Linked DNA regions of Danio rerio. The protein of the gene in region 1 purifies or fractionates together with the protein of each later gene. This does not show direct contact. Links are inferred from orthologs where the notes say so. Each region holds a gene or a part of one and is shown in the gene's direction. Other genes may lie near its edges. The genes, in order: nrp1a, bcs1l, fam241a and ubr2.

Region 1 (3,610 bases):
ACCAAATCTGCCTTAATAGACCAAAGACAAAGCGAAAGTAATTTTATCAAATAAAATATATTCAAATAAACTCATGTTTAATGTGATAAGAACTGATACTGATGCTAAAATTCAGATTTTAATCCAAATTTAATGACAGTCTTGAATTATAAAAGTAATAAGTGATCATGCCAATTTTAATAATATCTTAAATAATTAAATGAAATGCCGAAAAGAAAATGAATGAATGACTGATATATATATATATGTTAAAACCTGAACTTAACTTGAAAAACTATATGTAGTATGCGTACATCACCTAGAAATTTCAAGCGTGAACCCAACAGTAACAGTGGTGTCATAGAGAAATGGAAACGGTTTAAAGGTAACAGCTTTTCCTCATGTGTCGTATCTGTTGTTTTGCAGTCTTCATTGGACATCACAGATACATTAACACATTTAAGTATTATTTAAGTAATTAATAATAATTCCTTACATTTATAAAGCGCTTTTCTAGACACTCTAAGCGCTTTACACGATGGGGGATCCTCTCATCCACCACCAGTGTGCAGCATCCACCTGGCCATATTGCACCAGACCGCACACCAGCTGATTGGTGGAGAGGAGACTGAGTGATGAAGCCAATTTTTATATGGGGATGGTTAGAAGGCCATGATGGACAGAGCCCAGTGGGCAAATTTGGCCAGGATGCCAGGGTTAAATCTCTACTCCTTTTCAAAGGACATCCTGGGATTTTTAACGACCACAGAGAGTCGGGACCTCGGTTTAATGTCTCATCTGAAAAACGGCACTCACTAAGCAGGATAGTGTCCCCTTCACTATACTGGGGCATTAGGACCCACACGGACCGCAGGTTGGGCGCCCCCTGTTGGCCTCACTAACACAACTTCCAACAGCAACCCAGCTTTCCATGTGGTCTCCCATCCAGTTACTGACTGGGTGCAGCCCTGTTTAGCTTCAGTGGGCGAGCATGTGAGAGTTGCAGAGAGCGAGCTGCAGGCAATTACAATTTTTTTTAATGGGCCAAGTAAAAATCCTTAATGTAAGTCTTAAGTTCATTTAAAATTGTCTAAAGAAGGTCTCAAATTTGACTTGGTGTTAAAGATATCATATTCTACATAAAGCATACTCTCACATGTGTCGTACCTGTTGTTTTATATCTGTCTGAGGTATAGGGCGTGGCTAACATACCTAGCCACGCCCCTCCTGCTGTCAGATTTGACATCTAACAGAAATGGTGAGCAGGAGGAGTCTGTTAGGGTTTAATAACTCTCCCCAAACCTTTTCCCCCATCTTTCTGAATGAAATGCCTACTTCACTACATCCAATCCGCTCGCAGTGGAAAAAAACAAGCCACGCCCACTGTTTTCCTATTTAATATTCCGTTTCTCTTGGAACTGCATCACAAAACGGTTGCGACTTCCGGTTTATGCGGTCTTTAAATGTAACACACCCTCACATGTGTCGTACCTGCTGTTTTGCAGTGGTGGACATCACCGATTTCCCAGATATCGTGGAGAACCCAGATATCGGCGGAGCTGGAAACATGCTGAAAACCCTGGACCCCATCCTCATTACTATCATCGCCATGAGTGCGCTTGGTGTTTTCCTGGGCGCCATCTGTGGCGTGGTGCTGTACTGCGCCTGCTCTCATAGCGGCATGTCAGACAGGAACTTATCAGCCCTGGAGAACTATAATTTTGAGCTGGTGGACGGCGTCAAGTTAAAGAAGGACAAGCTCAACTCACAGAACTCGTACTCGGAAGCGTGAGGCGCCGACCAATAAGAGGGAATCTCTCCTCAGGGGGGGCGGGGCTACATGGACTGCCGATGCCATCCGATTGGAGGAGGACAAGGCTCTGTGGTTCAGTGAACCAATCGGAGGAGGACTGGGACTGAGCCATGCTTTTCTCAGGAGCTGCAGTGAATAGAACCCACCAGTAGGGGGACACTGTGTACAAAACATTGAAAAAAAAACACACGAATATGTACAGATGATTGAAATTATTATTTTATTGTTTTGTATTATTTTTTGGTTGATCATTTTTACAATCGGATGCTGGTGTTGAGACCAATATATAATAATGTTATAAAGTATTTATCTTTTCTTTCTTTTCTAGGAGGAATTTATTTTTATTTTTAAAAAAAGAGATTGTTTTGCGCTTTAAGGAGATGTGTAAACAAAAACAAACAAAAAAACCCAAATGAACCATATATACGGCCAAGGGAAGGTAATTAGGATCAAAGGGGTGGAATATCATCCAGCCCTGTTGCATTCTGGGTATGGTTCGGTCAGTGCCTTTGGTACATCTTTTTTGGCCTCCTCTGTTGTTTTATGGCGTTCTCAACCCTTTAGTTCTTTAAAACAAAACAAGGCTGAAACTGCAAAACGAATCCCGGGGAAATTCATAGCGCTTTAATGTCGAAATCATGCATATTGTACATACGTTTTAATATATTTTAATGCCCTTTTCAAAGAAACAAGTAAAAGGACAAAAAAGAGAGCTGCAGTATCCCTTTTTTCCTGGGTTGTATGTTGTAAATACAATCGTCTGAGTGTTTCGTGGAGTGAAACGTGTGCTTTTTTTCCGTCCTGTTGGGTTCTTTTTGCTACGCTCCCAAAAGATGCAGCCCTTGTTCAAAACAGAAGTCCATCACAGGATCCGCTGTCTCATATAAAGCTGAGCATCGTCTTACACTGAAATAGACATTGATTATTGTGCGAAGAACATTTCACATCAGATGTTCAATTCCGTTAAAGTGGAGAAACAATATTTTTGGATTATTAAAATGCTCTTCATATGAAGACACAAATAATCCTTAATGTTCTCTCACTCTTTATTTTTAAGAGTGCGTCTCTCACACCCCACGTGAAAAAAAATAATATAGTAATTTATAGTAAATACTGTAGTGTTTTTGAGCAAGGATCCAATAGTAAAGCGTATTATACTATACACTCACCGGCCACTTTATTAGGTACACCTGTCCAACTGCTTGTTAATGCAATTTCTAATCAGCCAATCACATGGCAGCAACTCAGTGCATTTAGGCAGGGTCAAGACGATGTGCTGCAGTTCAAAGCAAGCATCAGAATGAGGAAGAAAGGGGATTTAAGTGACGTGGCATGGTTATTGCTGCCAGACAGGCTGCTGTGAGTATTTCAGAAACTGCTGCTCTACTGGGATTTTCATGCACAACCATCTCTAGGGTTTACAATGGTCTGAAAAAGAGGAAATTTACTCAAATGGCCTCCACAGTCACCAGAGCTCAATCCAATTGAGCACCATTGTGATGTGGAGGAAAGGGAGTGTATATCTCTGAGGAATATTCCCAGTAACTTCTTGAATCTATGCCACAAAGGATTAAGGCAAATCTGAAGGTGTCCAACCCGGTACGAGTAAGGTGTACCTAATAAAGTGGCCGGTGAGTGTATATATTATAGTATTTGATAATGAATGCTGAATTACCGAAACAGATTGAATCAAGTACACAAAATAGTCAAGTGCTGTGTCCCAAATGGCACACTATGCACTTACACACTCAACAGCAAAGTATATGTATGTGGGGTCGTCCCAAGTAGACCACTACTGTTTTTTACTAAGCGGAAATT
Region 2 (3,755 bases), on another chromosome or scaffold:
AATATTCAGTCAGCCCAATCGCTTCCAGTGAACTGTATTGCCATCACAAAATCGGCACGTTTAAGATCTGATTTCTTTAAAAAATCTGTGATCTTCACAGCCTGATTGATGTGCGATATAAAGTTGGTTTCAGACCAGATAAGAAGCGCTGAATTAAATTCCATTTCCCTGTCTTCAAAATATGAAAACGTATTTGACCCCAGTATTGAAGTTTCTACGCTAGCCTACTACTACTGACATCCCTAGCTTTTGCATGGTCTTTCATCTCATTTTATGCTTGAATAACAAAATAAATGCTTAAGTCTATTTAACTGATTGTATTTTAAGTACATTACAACATCCGTGCTGTAAAAGCAACCTTATGAAATTGAAAACAGTCACATTAACCTTTCACTGGAAGTTTATCGTTGGCTGAAAAACACTAGCTGTGCATATAGCTCATTCAGAGTTTCACATCTCTGTATACTTATTGTACTTTTTCTTCTTCTCAGAACTGCTCTGGCAGGTGAGCTGGGCTACAGCATCTGTCTGATGAGTCTGAGCGACCGCAGCCTGTCTGATGATCGCCTCAATCACCTGCTAAGCGTCGCTCCGCAGCAGAGCATCATCCTGCTGGAGGACGTAGATGCAGCCTTTGTCAGCCGCGAGCTGCTGCCCACCGAGAGTATGTCTTGCTGTTGTGCTTCTGAATATTCACAGCCTAACTATACTGTGATGAATCTTGATGACACAATATAATCTTCTTTCCATTTTTTTCTCACAGATCCACTGGCCTATCAAGGTATGGGACGGCTTACGTTTAGTGGGCTTCTGAATGCTCTGGATGGAGTGGCATCTTCAGAGGCCCGAATTGTCTTCATGACTACTAATTTCATTGAGAGGTAAGGCTTGTTTTTCCCCATGAAGATTTAGTTTTTTTTTTGGACTTTGGAATGTGAAATTGTGGCTATAATAGCACAAGGAATTGGAAGATTGGTGGTAATAAATTGTGTGTGTTACAGTGCAATGAAGGTCAGATCCTGGCAGATGTTTTAATATCCAAATGTTGTATAATTGTACTTATTATATTTAATAAACAAATATAATTATTTCATAGAATGAAAATCCAATTAAGTGTATATACGGATATTAAGTAAATAAAGGTTTATTTATGTAGCATTTTTCACAGACATTAAGTCACAAAAGGCTTTACAATAATGCCCGATTTACTCGGGCCTCAGCGTCAATGCTTGACGGAGGGCATGTCTGAAGTTAGGGCTGACGTGATCATCATAACAGCGTCAGCCAATAAAATTAGTCTGCAATCGGCTACTGTTTGAGCTAGGGGTATTTGCATAAAGCGATCTGATGAAAAGTAATGAAAAGTTGAGAAATTCCCAATTTCTGCAGCGAGCAACACTACTGATGCAGCACTGACGGATCTGCAATTCAGTTCGGCAACGCTTTATGTCACCCATTCAAAGCTAATGGGAAGTGCTGATGCTGATACCCCATGTGAATGGGCCGTTAAAGAAGTGTGGAAAGGGGTGTTTATTGTATTTTATTATTTTTATTTTAGAATATCCTGATATTCATTGTACTTTTGCATCCTAGATAATGTCATTTATATTCCCAACAAACATGCTTGCTTTAAACAATTGTACATAATAATCAGGTTTTGCTGACATTAAAAAAAATTGTTTAAAATATTTTTTTAGTCATCATTTATTAGTATATATTTAATATATTTAGTTTATGTTAAATAAGTCTGTATATATTTTTAAATATTTTTTGTTCCCTATTGCAAAATACATATTTTTTAATCTCTTAAAATAAATAATTTACACAATATTTCATTTATAAAGGATATTTTATGTGATCAAAAAAATTATGTTAGTGTAATCTTTTTTTTTAATTCAAACATAATAAATAAAACAAACATTAAATATTGTCAATTCATAAAATGTTTTTTTGGTCTTTATAACTGCTCAATTATTATCACACGATCACTCTTTTCTGTAGTCCAATCCTTACTTATTTTAAATAAATTAGTCCATTATTAATCATTAAAAACATTAATCATGAAGTACCCAGTGGTCAATAAGACTTGGGACTCTGAACAGTCTTTGGTATTAGTAAAATGGTATTGTTTCCTTCCCCTTCTCATTTTCTTCTCCTCGATGTGAAGACTCGATCCGGCTCTCGTCCGCCCCGGCCGTGTGGATCTGAAGCAGTATGTTGGCCACTGCTCGCACTGGCAGCTGACTCAGATGTTTCGGAGGTTTTACCCTCAGGAGTCTGCAGCCGAGGCAGATCACTTCTCTGAACAAGCACTGGCCGCTCACACAGATCTTAGCGCCGCTCAGGTACAAGGACACTTCATGCTCTACAAGACTGACCCAGCCGGGGCTATCAAAAACATTGCAGAGATTAAGGACTGAAGATTTTCATAGACTTTTGTTTGAAGAGCAGTCAAGAGCAACAGTTCTTGCTCACAAATTAATGCTCAAAAATTGGAGTAATAAAATAAGACTTGTGGAATATTTGTGTATTTTGCTTGGTTATTATGGCTGTATTTCGGAGGTTTGTTTTGTGTATATTGAATCATGCCTTATATGTGAGCGGGACATGCACTATCTGACAAAAGTCTTGTCCCTATCCAAGTTTTAGGAACAACAAATAATAACTGGACTAGTTGATCATTTGGTATTAGAAGTGGCTTAAATGAAAGGCAAAGGCCTCTAGATTACCCTTATTCTTATAGAATCTTGGGTCTATGTGGGTTTCAATAGGTCTTCTGCAGTATTTGTGATGCATTCCACAGATCATTCATCAGACAAATCTACCTTCTGCCACAAATAATCCACTAGAAGTCAAGTTATTATTTGTTGCTCCTACAACTGGGATCAATAACAAGACTTTTGTCAGGTAGAGATCTATTTTCCAAATTTTTTGCTTGTGATTAATATTCATACAATTATTAATGCTTTAAAATTCTAAACATTCAGAACATTTCTTTCTGAACAAGAGCATGTGGTTTTGTAACATTTTTTTGTTTGTTTTGAAGCCTTTTCCCTCCACCCTGTAGGAACTGGAGGAAAGGTGAATGTTAAAGGCAGAGTTCAGCCAGATTAAAAATTGCCTTTATTTTTATCGTCATCATGTCATTCAAAACCTGTACTTAGTATTATACCAGGAAAATAACAGAATGTTTACTATAACGTTCTCTGAAAGATTGAGAGCCACGGTCTGCATTTACATACAGCTTCACTCACTCTCAGAAATAAAGGTAAATGAGCTGTCACTGGGGTGGTACCTTTTCAAAATATACACATTTGTACTTAAAAGGTCCATATTGGTACTTTAAAAGTATATATTAGTACCAACAAAATTTAAGAGAAACACTTTTGTACTTTTTAGGTTCTAATATGTACCCTTGAGGCATTAATATGGACCTTTTAGGTACACATTTGTACTTTATGAAAAGGTACCACTCCAGTGACAGCTCGTGTACCTTTATTTCTGAGAGTGCTGTATGAAAAAGAGCAGAGAAATGGTGACTTGGAACGAATCAGACTTAGTATCTTCTGATTAAAGGCATAGTTCATCCAAAACTGAGAATTCCATCATTATTTACTTTCACTTGTCACCAACCTGTTTGATTTTCTTTCTTCTGTTAAACACAAAAGAAGATCTGCAAAAAAAAATCTGCAACCATTGACCTCCATATTTGTTTTTCCTACTATAGAAGTCGCTGGTCATGATTTTGCCAAGTA
Region 3 (5,649 bases), on another chromosome or scaffold:
ATACCCAAACATACTGTAGGAATCACAAGCTTGTTGTAAAATAGATTCTGTTTTTGAAGGCTTAGACCTACCAACACTCCAGTTTTTCACACTTTTTTCCTGCTACCCATTTTGTTATTTCTCCTGTTAAACTGAAAAAAAATGTCTCTATGACTTTAAATGAAGCTACAAGACCTGGTAATACTGTAAAAATGCTGGGTTCCACACAATCCCTTCACCTCATCTCAATGCAAATTGATTTAGTTAGCTTAATGATTTTTACTAATTTGATTTGATTGAATATAAAACAATAACATTGTCCTTAAAAAACTTAAGAACTTTGGTGTTCCAGCTCATTTTAGTTTGAACAAGCAACAAAAATATATACACTGTAAAAAAGCAGGGTTCCACACAATTCATTCACGTTGTCCCAACACAAATTGATTAAGTATATGAGGTGCCGTTTTATGTATGTGTTGATAAGCAAAGTTAAATTTAAACTCTACACGGCACCTCATATAAATAAACTTAACACTTTTAACAAATTTATATGGATTGAACATAAAAAAAATTGTTGTCCCAATGAAATCTCAAGAATTGTGTTGTTTCAGCTCATTTTAAAAAAGTAGTTTGAACGATCAAAATAAAATAAAAAAAATTTTAAAATACCTTTTTATTCTTTACAAAAACAATTTTCCCTGTTACAGGTGCAGTTGTTTTGCTCTAGTAATACCTTCAGAGAACACAGTAGCATCCATACAAGCAGAGATTGATGTGCTGTAGCAGAACTGGTAGATGTCTGTCCAGGCTGATACATGTTTAGGCCATTAATTGGTAGCTAAATTCTTGATGCCCTTTACTGGAGCTTCCAGAAAACCAGCAATAAAAAAATACTAGGGTAAAACCCATAACGCCTGTATCTGCTATTATACAAAGTTAATTTACTTTAAACTCAATGTCCCATATTGTCGCATTCAATAATTTTGACTGCTATGAATTTTCCTTTAACAGGGCATTTAGGAAGAAATGTAATGATCTTGTTATCATTTTATTCACCTTTGATTTTTGTAATATTAATAACAGATTAATGAAAGCACAGGTAACAGTGGCGCAGTAGGTAGTGCTGTTGCCTCACAGCAAGAAGGTCGCTGGTTTGATCCTCGGCTCAGTTGGTGTTTCTGTGTGGAGTTTGCATGTTCTCCCTACGTTCGCATGGGTTTCCTCAAGGTGCTCTAGTTTCCCCCACAGTTTAGTACAGGTGAATTGGGTAGGCTAAATTGTCCGTAGTGTATGAGTGTGTGTGTGAATGTGTGTGTGGATGTTTCCCAGGGATGGGTTGCGGCTGGAAGGGCATCCGCTGCGTAAAAACCAGCTGAATAAGTTGGCGGTTCATTCCGCTGTGGCGACCCTGGATTAATAAAGGAAGCCGACAAGAAAATGAATGAAAGCACAGCACACACATGATCAAACACTGGAAAACATGGTTTGTGAACACAGGCAATTTATCAATCAATAACATAATGAATAGAATTAAATATTAATTTGACGATTAAAATTGGTTTAAAGACTTTTTTGAGCGCGACAAACCAAAATGTGTTTCCAGATTTGACAAAAAAGGCAGCTGAATCTTTTAAATGGAAAAGTTCAAAAGAATCGACTCGCAGAAATACGCCCCCACGTGTTACTAAATTTTTAAAACACAGCCTTTGCACTTCTATAACTGTATATAGATCTACAGCCTATGTGTAAGTTAATAATTATATTAAACTATATTAAAAGAAGGAAATGTTTTTGTTCATGCTTATTCTAACACCCATCTATTCTTAATGCACGTGTTTTTGTTTTTCTCTAAATTTAAAGATTATTGTAACGTTCACATGACACGACATGCAATGACAACTTTCCCCCTTTATTATGTAAGTTGTACAAACTTACCGCAAACCACAAACTGTAAAATGTATTTACATCTAAAAAAATTTTTTTTTTTAAATGAGTGCAACTCAGTGTTGGGAAAAAAGTAATATATGGCAATCTGTAGTCATTTAAAAACGTAACTAAATGTGTTAGTTACTTTTTAAGGACGCAATGTGAATATATATGTACATATATATGTTATTTTATTGTAATTTGCATTTTTTAAAAACTTTTTTAAGGAGATAAGGTAGACGTAAAATTGTAATATATCACTTTTTACCCACTGAAACTGTATTAACAGTATACAATCAAAAGGCATAAACTTAGTTGCCAGGGGTTTAAAAAAACAGGTAAATAAAACACCACAACTCTTATTTTGACCGTGATTTGTGACGTCAGGCTGCGCCGTCTGTTGACAGCCAACACCGGAAGTATCTCCAACAAGCCATCTGTTTCCCAGCCCTTCGGCCCCGTCTCAGGTCAAAATTAATCATTCTGTTTTTAGCATTAATATGTCAAATACTAATCGTATCGTAAATGATGCGGAGACACGTCATCATCGAGACTTCTTAACCGGGACGCGAGAACGGAGCGGGTGTCGACACCAGCATGAGCGCGCTGTCAAACACACACACAGAGAACTGGTAAGACTCTTAACGTACATCTCGACCAACCTGACTTGTTTTTTTTAAATTATACTTGTATACTACGAGTTAAAAGTTTTAGAATAGTCTGTTGTTTTTTATCAGTAACTAAGAAACAGCCCTGCCTTCCCCTTGTGTATCAACAGCTCTATAAATAGCTGTTTTGCAATGTTGTCACATTCATTTGGTATAACATAAGGAGTTCTGTTAAGCCTCAACATAACGAAATGACGAAACCCAAGTATACCAACCTGTTTTTTTTTTTTTGCCTTGCTATATATAGCGACAGTACATATTACAAACATAAACACACTCCCACAGACACTCAAATGGTGTCAGTGTTTTACACCCTGTATAATTACTGTATAATTACTCTGTCATTGCGCTCAGAATGACCCCAGGGGAAGAGATAGACCACACAATGCTGAGCCATCGCAGGAACCAGCTGAACCGGAGGCCCCACAGGTGGATGACTGTGAGAAGATGGGCACTTTGTTCGGGGAGCTCAACAAGTGTTTGAGGGGTCTTGGATTCACCCAGCTCTACTTCGGAGAGAAGATTGTGGAGCCGGTGGTCGTGCTGGTGTTTTGGTTGCTTTTGTGGTTCCTTGGTATCCAAGCGCTTGGCCTCGTGGGAACTCTGTGCATCATTATCATTTACATCCAGAAATAGCAGACGAGAATATACAGATGAAGGACAGTTTTGCCACTTACAGCCAGTAGAGAGGAGATTGAGACTCCTTTCTGTAAACGACAAGCTCCACAACTCCGTTTACGCGGGTGTTGTTTGCTTTCTTGTAATGTGGGTATATATTCAAGAAGGTGAATTATTGAAGATAATCAGAGGATTTACTTTAATTGCTAGAATGATTCCACCAGTCTATGCGCTTTCATGCATAAGGCATTTGTGAAAAGCATGCTTCCCTTCACTCCTGATTGGTGCATAGAGATAGGATGACTGTCGTAACCTGTACAGGTTGAAGAGCTTTATTATAACTGGTTGTACATATCAGCTTGACAGTCATTTGAAATGAAAGTGGTATCCTTGTTGAATGTATTGCTGATGTGTTCCCAGGTTTCAGTCCTGTTTTCTCTACGCAATTGCACTAGAGGGCAACCTTCCTCATTCTTTATAAAAGAGATAGTTCATCCGAAACTGAAAATGATTTTGTCATTTACTCACTTAAACACTAAAGAAGATAAAAAAGACTGGAAACTGGTAACCATTGACTTCCAAAGTAGAAAAAATAAATACTATGGAAGTCAATGGTTACAGGTTTTCAGCTTTCTTTAAAATATCTTCTTTAGTGTTTGGTAGCACAAAGAAACTCACAAAGCTTTAAAATAACTTGAGGGTGATTAAATAGTGAGTCGATTTTCATTTTTGGGTGAACTATCCCTTTTAAGATGTGTTAGGAAATCTAACAGGGATGAATAATTATTCTGAGTTAAAACTTGAATGTGTTAATACTACTGCATGTGAATGTTCTGGGGCTGCTGGGGTATTTTTGGACTTCGTCTGACAGTTTGAATTAAATACAGTTCTCCAAGAGTCTGAGCAGAGGAGGAATCTGTATTAAAACCAAACCTATCATGAAAAAGATCTACGTTATGCACTGTATTTTTGGATTTGTTTATTAACTGATGTTTCTTAAAGGGACAGTTCACCCTAAATTAAAAATGGACTGAGCATTTACTGGTACCAAACCTTTTTTTTTCTGTTGTATACAAAAGATGATATTTTGAAGAATGTTTTGTTCCAGGGATGTCCAGACTCAGTCTTGGAGGGCCGGTGTCCTGCAGATTTTAGCTCCAATTTGCCTCAACACACCTGTACAGATGTTTCTGGAAAGCCTAGTAACAGCTTGATCATCTAGCCCAGGTGTGTCTGATTGAGGTTGGAACTAAACTCTGCAGGACACTGGCTTTCCAGGACTAAGTTCGGACACCCCTGTTTTAAACGGTTAGCAGTAGTAAAACAAAATCATTGCATATACTATTATCGTTATAATGATAATTTTCATATATTGTGCACACACTATGAATATCAATGCCTGCTGCTTTCCAACATCCATCAAAATTCTCTCTATCATCATAAAGAAACTAAGAATTGTAATTTTGGGGTGAACTATCTCTTTTCAATCTGCTTATGCTGTCTGTTAAAGAAATAATGCAATATGAATATTAATGAAATCAAATGATGATTTCATAAATACAACATATTTAGTAGAAATATCTTGAAACAGTTTGTTTTGTAGGATATTCAGAATCAGAAATATATAAAGGCTGTTTTAATAGCACTTAATGCTTTTTGAAATACTACATTTGATTATTATTAAATGATTTAACTTTTTAAGCACGGTTAATTACCTGCTGTTTATGTAACTGTGAATATTTTTGCAAGATGATGTCATACTCATGAAAATCATATTTGATTTTGATTATTTTTTGGTACAGATTTTGAGAAAAACTACTTTGTTTGTAATGTGACATAATTGCTGACATGATGCCAACTTTTGATTTGATGTGATTCTTTTCAGTGTTCATCTGCATCTCATGTGCTGTACTTTTCATTTTACCAACGTATTTGCCACAATTTTTTATTTGCTGGTGGTGGGTTTAATGAGGGATACTTGTATTGATTAAATTATTTTAATTGAGTTGTTTTTTTTATACATTATAAATCATTCTGCAATGTAATTCAACTAAAAACCTGGGTTATCATAATAAAAACAATCATGCTTTAAAATAATTGCAGTTGCCTTTTTCCTTGTAGAAATCCACTAATCATTCATTCATTCCATTTTCATTCGGCTTTGTTGCCACAGCGGAATGAACCGCCAACTTATCCTGCATATGTTTTACACAGCAGATGCCCTTCCAAGTGCCTGCATGTCTGTGTGGGAAACAGGAGCACCCGGAAGAAACCTAAAACCTACACGAACACAAGGAAAACAATCAAACTTCACACAGAAATGCCAACTGGCCCAGGGGCTCGAACAAGTGACCTTCTTACTGTGGGGCGACAGTGCTAACCACTGAGTCTCCATCCACAAATTAAATGAAAGTGTCTATGTCGATGTTTTCCATAACATTTGTGAATATAAAATGTC
Region 4 (5,526 bases), on another chromosome or scaffold:
ATATATATATATATATATATATATATATATATATATATATATATATATAGCATTATTTTAGAGAAATAATGCACATCCCGGAGATGTGGTCCTGATAGCTCAGGGGTGTCCAAACTCAGTCATCCAACTTGCCTCAACAAACCTGCATGGATGCTTCTAGAAAGCCTAGTAAGAGCTTAAATAGCTAGCCTAGGTGTGTCTGTTTGGAGTTGGAATTAAACTTTGCAGGACACTGGCCCTCCAGGACCGAGTTTGGACACCCCTGTGATAGCTGGATTAATATAGCAAGCAAGGCTTGGAATATACATTTGAGCATCAATTCACACATGATTGTGTGACATAGGCCCTACAATATTATTTGTTTTCTAATTAATTTATGCATTGTTTCAAGTTACTTTAATTGTTTTCTGCTGTGTATTTTTCCTAATTATTAACATGTTTAATTATAATAGGATCTAATTTTGAACTCAACAAACTACCTTATTGGTTGGTTCGCACATTCATACTTTCACAGACTATTATTATTATTGTTTTTTTTATCATATTATCATTATTATTTATTTTGTTAAGATTTTTTTAACCCTCAGATTACAGGTTTTTACATAGTTGTTTCTCTGTCAAATAGTGTCCTATCATAACAATATATAAATAAATGCTATTTATTCAGCTTCCAGATTATGTACTCAAATTTCCAAAAAAAAAAAAAAAAAGGACACTAACTGGTTTTGTGGACCAGGATCACAATTTTCATCATTACTCTAGTCTTCTCAGTCACACCATCCTTCCATAACTCCTCCCAATCGGGTTTCATGCTCAATAAACATTTATTTTATTATAAATGTCAACATGATATATCTTTTTCGAAGATTTTAGAACAGCTTTCAAGTCATAAACACCATTTTTGAGGGGTGTTTACATTGAGGTAAAGCTAGTTTTGCAAACGTTTGCCAATATGTTAACCCTCAGATTACCGGTTTTAAAATAGTTGTTTCCCTGTCAAATATTGTCATAAAATCACATATCAATAGAAATCTTATTTATTCAGCTTTCAGATTATGTAGTAAACTCAAATAAATAAATAAAAAATAGACTTATGATTGGTTTTGTGGTCCAGGGTTACAAGAATTTTCATCTTCGGTCTTTGCAGTCACACAATCCTTCCAAAAAGCCTATTTTTTTTCCCGTAAGATTTTAGAACAGCTTTCAAGTCATGAACACCATTTTTCCACATATCAATAGAAATCTTATTTATTCAGCTTTCAGCTTATATGGTTAACAAACATTTCCAAAAAATGGACAAGTAGCCTATTGGTTTTGTGGTCCAGGGTTACATTAGTCTTCGCAGTCCCAAAATCCTTCCAAAAACCGTTCCAGTGGGTGTTTACGTTGAGGTAAAGCCTGTTTTATATTCACTCACTCAGACCTTCTCCATAATAATATAATTTTAGGCAACTTTGGTAATTCTAAATGGGCAAATCATATTAGCACACTGCAGCCAATGACATGAAGTTGGTTTATATTCACACATTCAGTAACAACTTGTGACATGGTCTCTATTGTTTAGCTACCACGCTACTTTGAATATTCGGTCTGAAGCATGTATGACTTCAAATCAAGCTCTGTTTAACTGACTGTGAACAATGTTATACTTTGATAGTCACGGCTACTAATATGATTTCCCTATTTAGAATAAGTAAATAAGACTTTTCTGAAATGCTTTTATTAAGGAGAAAGTTAGAATGAGCCAAATATAAAACCAAATTTACCTCAATGCCAAATAACTATCAAAGTCCACAGTCAAATGGGGTTGTTTTGAAGTCATATATGTGATTGCTATCCAATGTACCATGGTAAGCAGTATAGTGAGGATATCACAAGTTGTCACTGACTATATGTGCGAATATAAAACTTCACCTCAGTGGTGTTTACTAGTAAAATGACAACACATTAGCTACAAAGTTTGGAAAGACAACTTTTAATCAATTCACAGTTTGCAGATGTACTTGTAAACCACACGTGAGGAGGGAGCGGCTGTTTTTGTGCACCGTCACCGTGGCAACAACAGCGACACTTTTCCATTAGTCAGCTGAAAAGTTTTGCCAGCTCCTTGACGGAAGAAGGGCGAGCGGCTGATTTCCGCTTCCTTCACTGCTGTTGCTCCTGCTGGTTTGCTGGTGGCCACTGAAGTAAAGATGGCGGCGGCCGAGACCGATCGTGATGCACCGTCCGCTCTGTGTAGCGAATTCCTCAATTTCTCCGCTAAGGACACCGCTGCGGTAGGCGACAGTTTTATGAACACTACGCAAAATTTCTCTACTGGCGATCTGTTTGTGTTTGGTTGCAAAAATCAACACGTTGGCGATGAATTGTCAGTTTTTTTTCTCGCTCCTCATCTTGTTTTGCTCAGTTGTTCCTGCTAGCGCGCTAACAGCTAACGCTAGCCTGTGAGATTTTCACACCTCAGCCTAAAAAAACGCACATCTGACACGCCGTTTGCACACATTATCAGTTTATAAATATGGATTTAGTATATATATTTTTTTATTTAGTGATTTTTCGGGTTTAGCGTATGGTTTTGGTGTCAGTGATATTTTAAAAGGATCTGTCAAGAGTTGGAAAAACAACATTGGCTGCTTTGTTCATCATCTATACGTCATTATGTTTATCCTGTTATTAACACAGTTTGACAGTCGCTTTGAATTGGTTTATACAAATAAATAGTTAAAATATATATATATATATATATTTAGCATTTTTGTGATAATGGTAATATGAGCTGTTTTTCTGGTTTCCTTCAGCAGGTGCTGTAGAACGTTATGGGTTTGCAAACTAAACATTAGTTTGATATTCCAGCTATGCTTGTTTTTCTTTTCATTTGTAAATTGATTTACCCACAACATTTCCATGCCACGTGTATCATATAAAAAAGTAGGTTTGTTTTGACAAAGTAATTCAGGTGGCGGTTGTCTGAACCACAAGACCTCAATTCACTGCGGTTGTGTTGTGTGATGAACTGAACGATAACAGTACATGTCCTGGTTATTTTGCACTTTTTTTCATCACCATGTGCATACAAAACGTGGACCTACATCACAAGGAGTTCTATATTGATGAGATTAAAATCTCTTTTGAACAATCTCAAAAGCACTTGGTCAATTGTCTGTATCTGGTTTGTTTAACTGTATTCTCTCAAGTCCTAAATCCAGGTTAGTAGGTCGATGTAGACAGTCATTGAGACTGCCAAGTTCTGCTTGTGCTGTATACGTAATCTCTGTGTTTCCTTTACAGCATGTGTTTCTGGCACAACAAACACATTAACTGTAGACAATGGAGACTAGCTAGGTTCTTACAGTATTTCCTTCAAAACAATTGCAAAAAAACCAAAACAATAGTTTCTAAATCAGAGTCTGTATTTGCATCGGATTATTTTTCTATAGTATATGAAATGCACAGTCAATTTGTCACTTTATTAAAACAAATAAAATTATATATATATATATTTGAATGAATATATATATATATATATATATATATATATATATATATATATATATATATATATATATATATATGAATGAGTATATATGAGCTATTCCAGCATTAAGGATGTGACATTGGCAGTAAAAATTCAAAACATAAATTCACATAGAAAGTATAATTTAACATTATTTTGAAATAACTGTTGATATTTTCCAGGACAACTAACCACAGAGTTATGGGATAAAAAAAAAATCAATCTGTAAATTTTATACTTTAAATAAGGAAAGTAAAGTGTTATGGATGTGACCAAAAAAGCTTGCAAGTTTACAGTATACTTTGTACATATTTTGTAGAAGTTCTGTGAATTAAACTGCACAACCCAAAAGAAATATTGCTAATCAAAAGGAGAAGAGTTGGATCTCTATAAAACAAACATGACTGGTTTTATTTTATTTTACAGTTTTGTATTTATGAGGAAAAAGTGTCGTTATGGATGTGACACTTCTTCGTTATGGAAGTGACGGATGTGTAAATTCCATTTGTGTGGCTTTAGTAATTCAAACATAATAGTTTGAAAACATTGACAGTCATTTTGAAGTATTTCTAAAGTACTGTAAAATACAAACCTACACAAAAAACTTCCATATTTTGGTGAAAACTTAATTCTTTTCATGGCAAGGTTGACATTTGCATGGAATTGGAATATATATATATATATATATATATATATATATATATTTATATATATATATATATATATATATATATATATATATTCGGGTGGCACAATATTGGAAAAATCTGAAAATGTGATATTTTGTTTTTCTGTGGTATTATTGCAATCAGGGTGCAAATTATACATTGACGATCAGGGGGTTAACTTTTTCAGTAATGTTAAATGTTCCAACTTATAATGGAAAAAATCTATTAATTAAATATTTTATATTCACACTTGATCAAAGCAGTCAGAAACACTTTGATTGACATTCTCCCTTTGTACGTGTCATCAGAATGGGAAAGCCCCACCCACTAGTGACCATCCCTCATTAGCAAAGGACGTTAGTCTTGCTTCTGAATCTGCCATTATGCTGATGCACAGGCATTTGTAGCTCCGCCCTCTTTTGAAAAGAGCATAATCTTATTTGAATTAAAAGCAACAATCACCAAAACAGCACAATTAGGATCAAAGCCTAAAATGGTCTGTTTCAAAGAGTTATAAAACATTATTTGTGTGGCATTTTGAGCTGAAACTTCACATACACACTCTAGGGACACCAGAAACATATATTACATGTTGTAAAAATGGGCATAATAGGTCCCCTTTAATGTAAAGTGCAATTTTTCTCATATTAAAAACGTTTAATTTACCCATCTTTTCACAGAAATGGCTACAGGTGAGCAACCTACCCAAAGAGGTGTACCAGCACTTGGCCTGCTATGTCCCCAAGATCTACTGCCTGGGTCCCAACCTCAACCCTCAGAACGAGGACCTGCTCGCTCAGCTGCTGCTTCAGGGCCCGCTGGAGTGGTATCTCTGTGGGGAAGAGCCGTCCGTGGGCTTGTCCAAACTCGAACAGAACAACCAGCCGTCACAACTTTGTGGCCATGTGTTTAAAGTGGGAGAGCCAACATACTCCTGCAGGTACAGTGTCAATATCGCACAGGGCTTGAAATTAACATGCATCAATGTTTGAAGGGGTCATTTGGAGGGCTTGAAATTAACATGCATCAATGTTTGAAGGGGTCATTTGGAGGGAAAATCAGTATTGAACACGTCATCATTTTTCTCAGAAATCATTTCTAAAGGTGCCATTGACTTGAAATTTTCACCAGATGTTGGAAGCATCCAAATAATTACAGATATGCAAAGAAAACAAATTAATTTAGAAGTTATGTGTAATAAAATGAAATGTTGCAAGGCAAAAGTATTGGAACACATGAAGAAAGGGAGGCGTAGAGAAGCAGTGAAAGCCCAGACAGCAGCTGAAATCTCTCATTCGGAATCGGCGGACGTGCAACAACTTTAACCATGAGGTAAACACAATA

What was found.
Region 2: the proteins of nrp1a (region 1) and bcs1l purify together in Homo sapiens (affinity purification with mass spectrometry; 3 studies listed by BioGRID and IntAct, counting the BioPlex papers as one, with this or other methods). This does not show direct contact. The link is inferred for Danio rerio from reciprocal best matches to the Homo sapiens genes NRP1 and BCS1L.
Region 3: the proteins of nrp1a (region 1) and fam241a purify together in Homo sapiens (affinity purification with mass spectrometry; 3 studies listed by BioGRID and IntAct, with this or other methods). This does not show direct contact. The link is inferred for Danio rerio from reciprocal best matches to the Homo sapiens genes NRP1 and FAM241A.
Region 4: the proteins of nrp1a (region 1) and ubr2 purify together in Homo sapiens (affinity purification with mass spectrometry; 3 studies listed by BioGRID and IntAct, counting the BioPlex papers as one, with this or other methods). This does not show direct contact. The link is inferred for Danio rerio from reciprocal best matches to the Homo sapiens genes NRP1 and UBR2.

The regions. Positions count from the first base shown.
Region 1 is NC_133199.1:1,253,470-1,257,079, reverse strand, and holds the end of nrp1a (neuropilin-1a isoform 1 precursor), read left to right. Parts: intron 1-1,484; coding exon 1,485-1,771; 3' UTR 1,772-2,513; downstream 2,514-3,610. UniProt on the Homo sapiens protein: Cell-surface receptor involved in the development of the cardiovascular system, in angiogenesis, in the formation of certain neuronal circuits and in organogenesis outside the nervous system. Mediates the chemorepulsant activity of semaphorins.
Region 2 is NC_133184.1:40,117,458-40,121,212, forward strand, and holds the end of bcs1l (mitochondrial chaperone BCS1), read left to right. Parts: intron 1-491; coding exon 492-664; intron 665-763; coding exon 764-881; intron 882-2,167; coding exon 2,168-2,420; 3' UTR 2,421-2,515; downstream 2,516-3,755. UniProt on the Homo sapiens protein: Chaperone necessary for the incorporation of Rieske iron-sulfur protein UQCRFS1 into the mitochondrial respiratory chain complex III.
Region 3 is NC_133188.1:13,067,384-13,073,032, reverse strand, and holds fam241a (uncharacterized protein FAM241A), read left to right. Parts: upstream 1-2,295; 5' UTR 2,296-2,405; coding exon 2,406-2,537; intron 2,538-2,927; coding exon 2,928-3,209; 3' UTR 3,210-4,631; downstream 4,632-5,649.
Region 4 is NC_133188.1:3,260,033-3,265,558, reverse strand, and holds the start of ubr2 (E3 ubiquitin-protein ligase UBR2), read left to right. Parts: upstream 1-2,188; 5' UTR 2,189-2,192; coding exon 2,193-2,276; intron 2,277-4,862; coding exon 4,863-5,122; intron 5,123-5,526. UniProt on the Homo sapiens protein: E3 ubiquitin-protein ligase which is a component of the N-end rule pathway.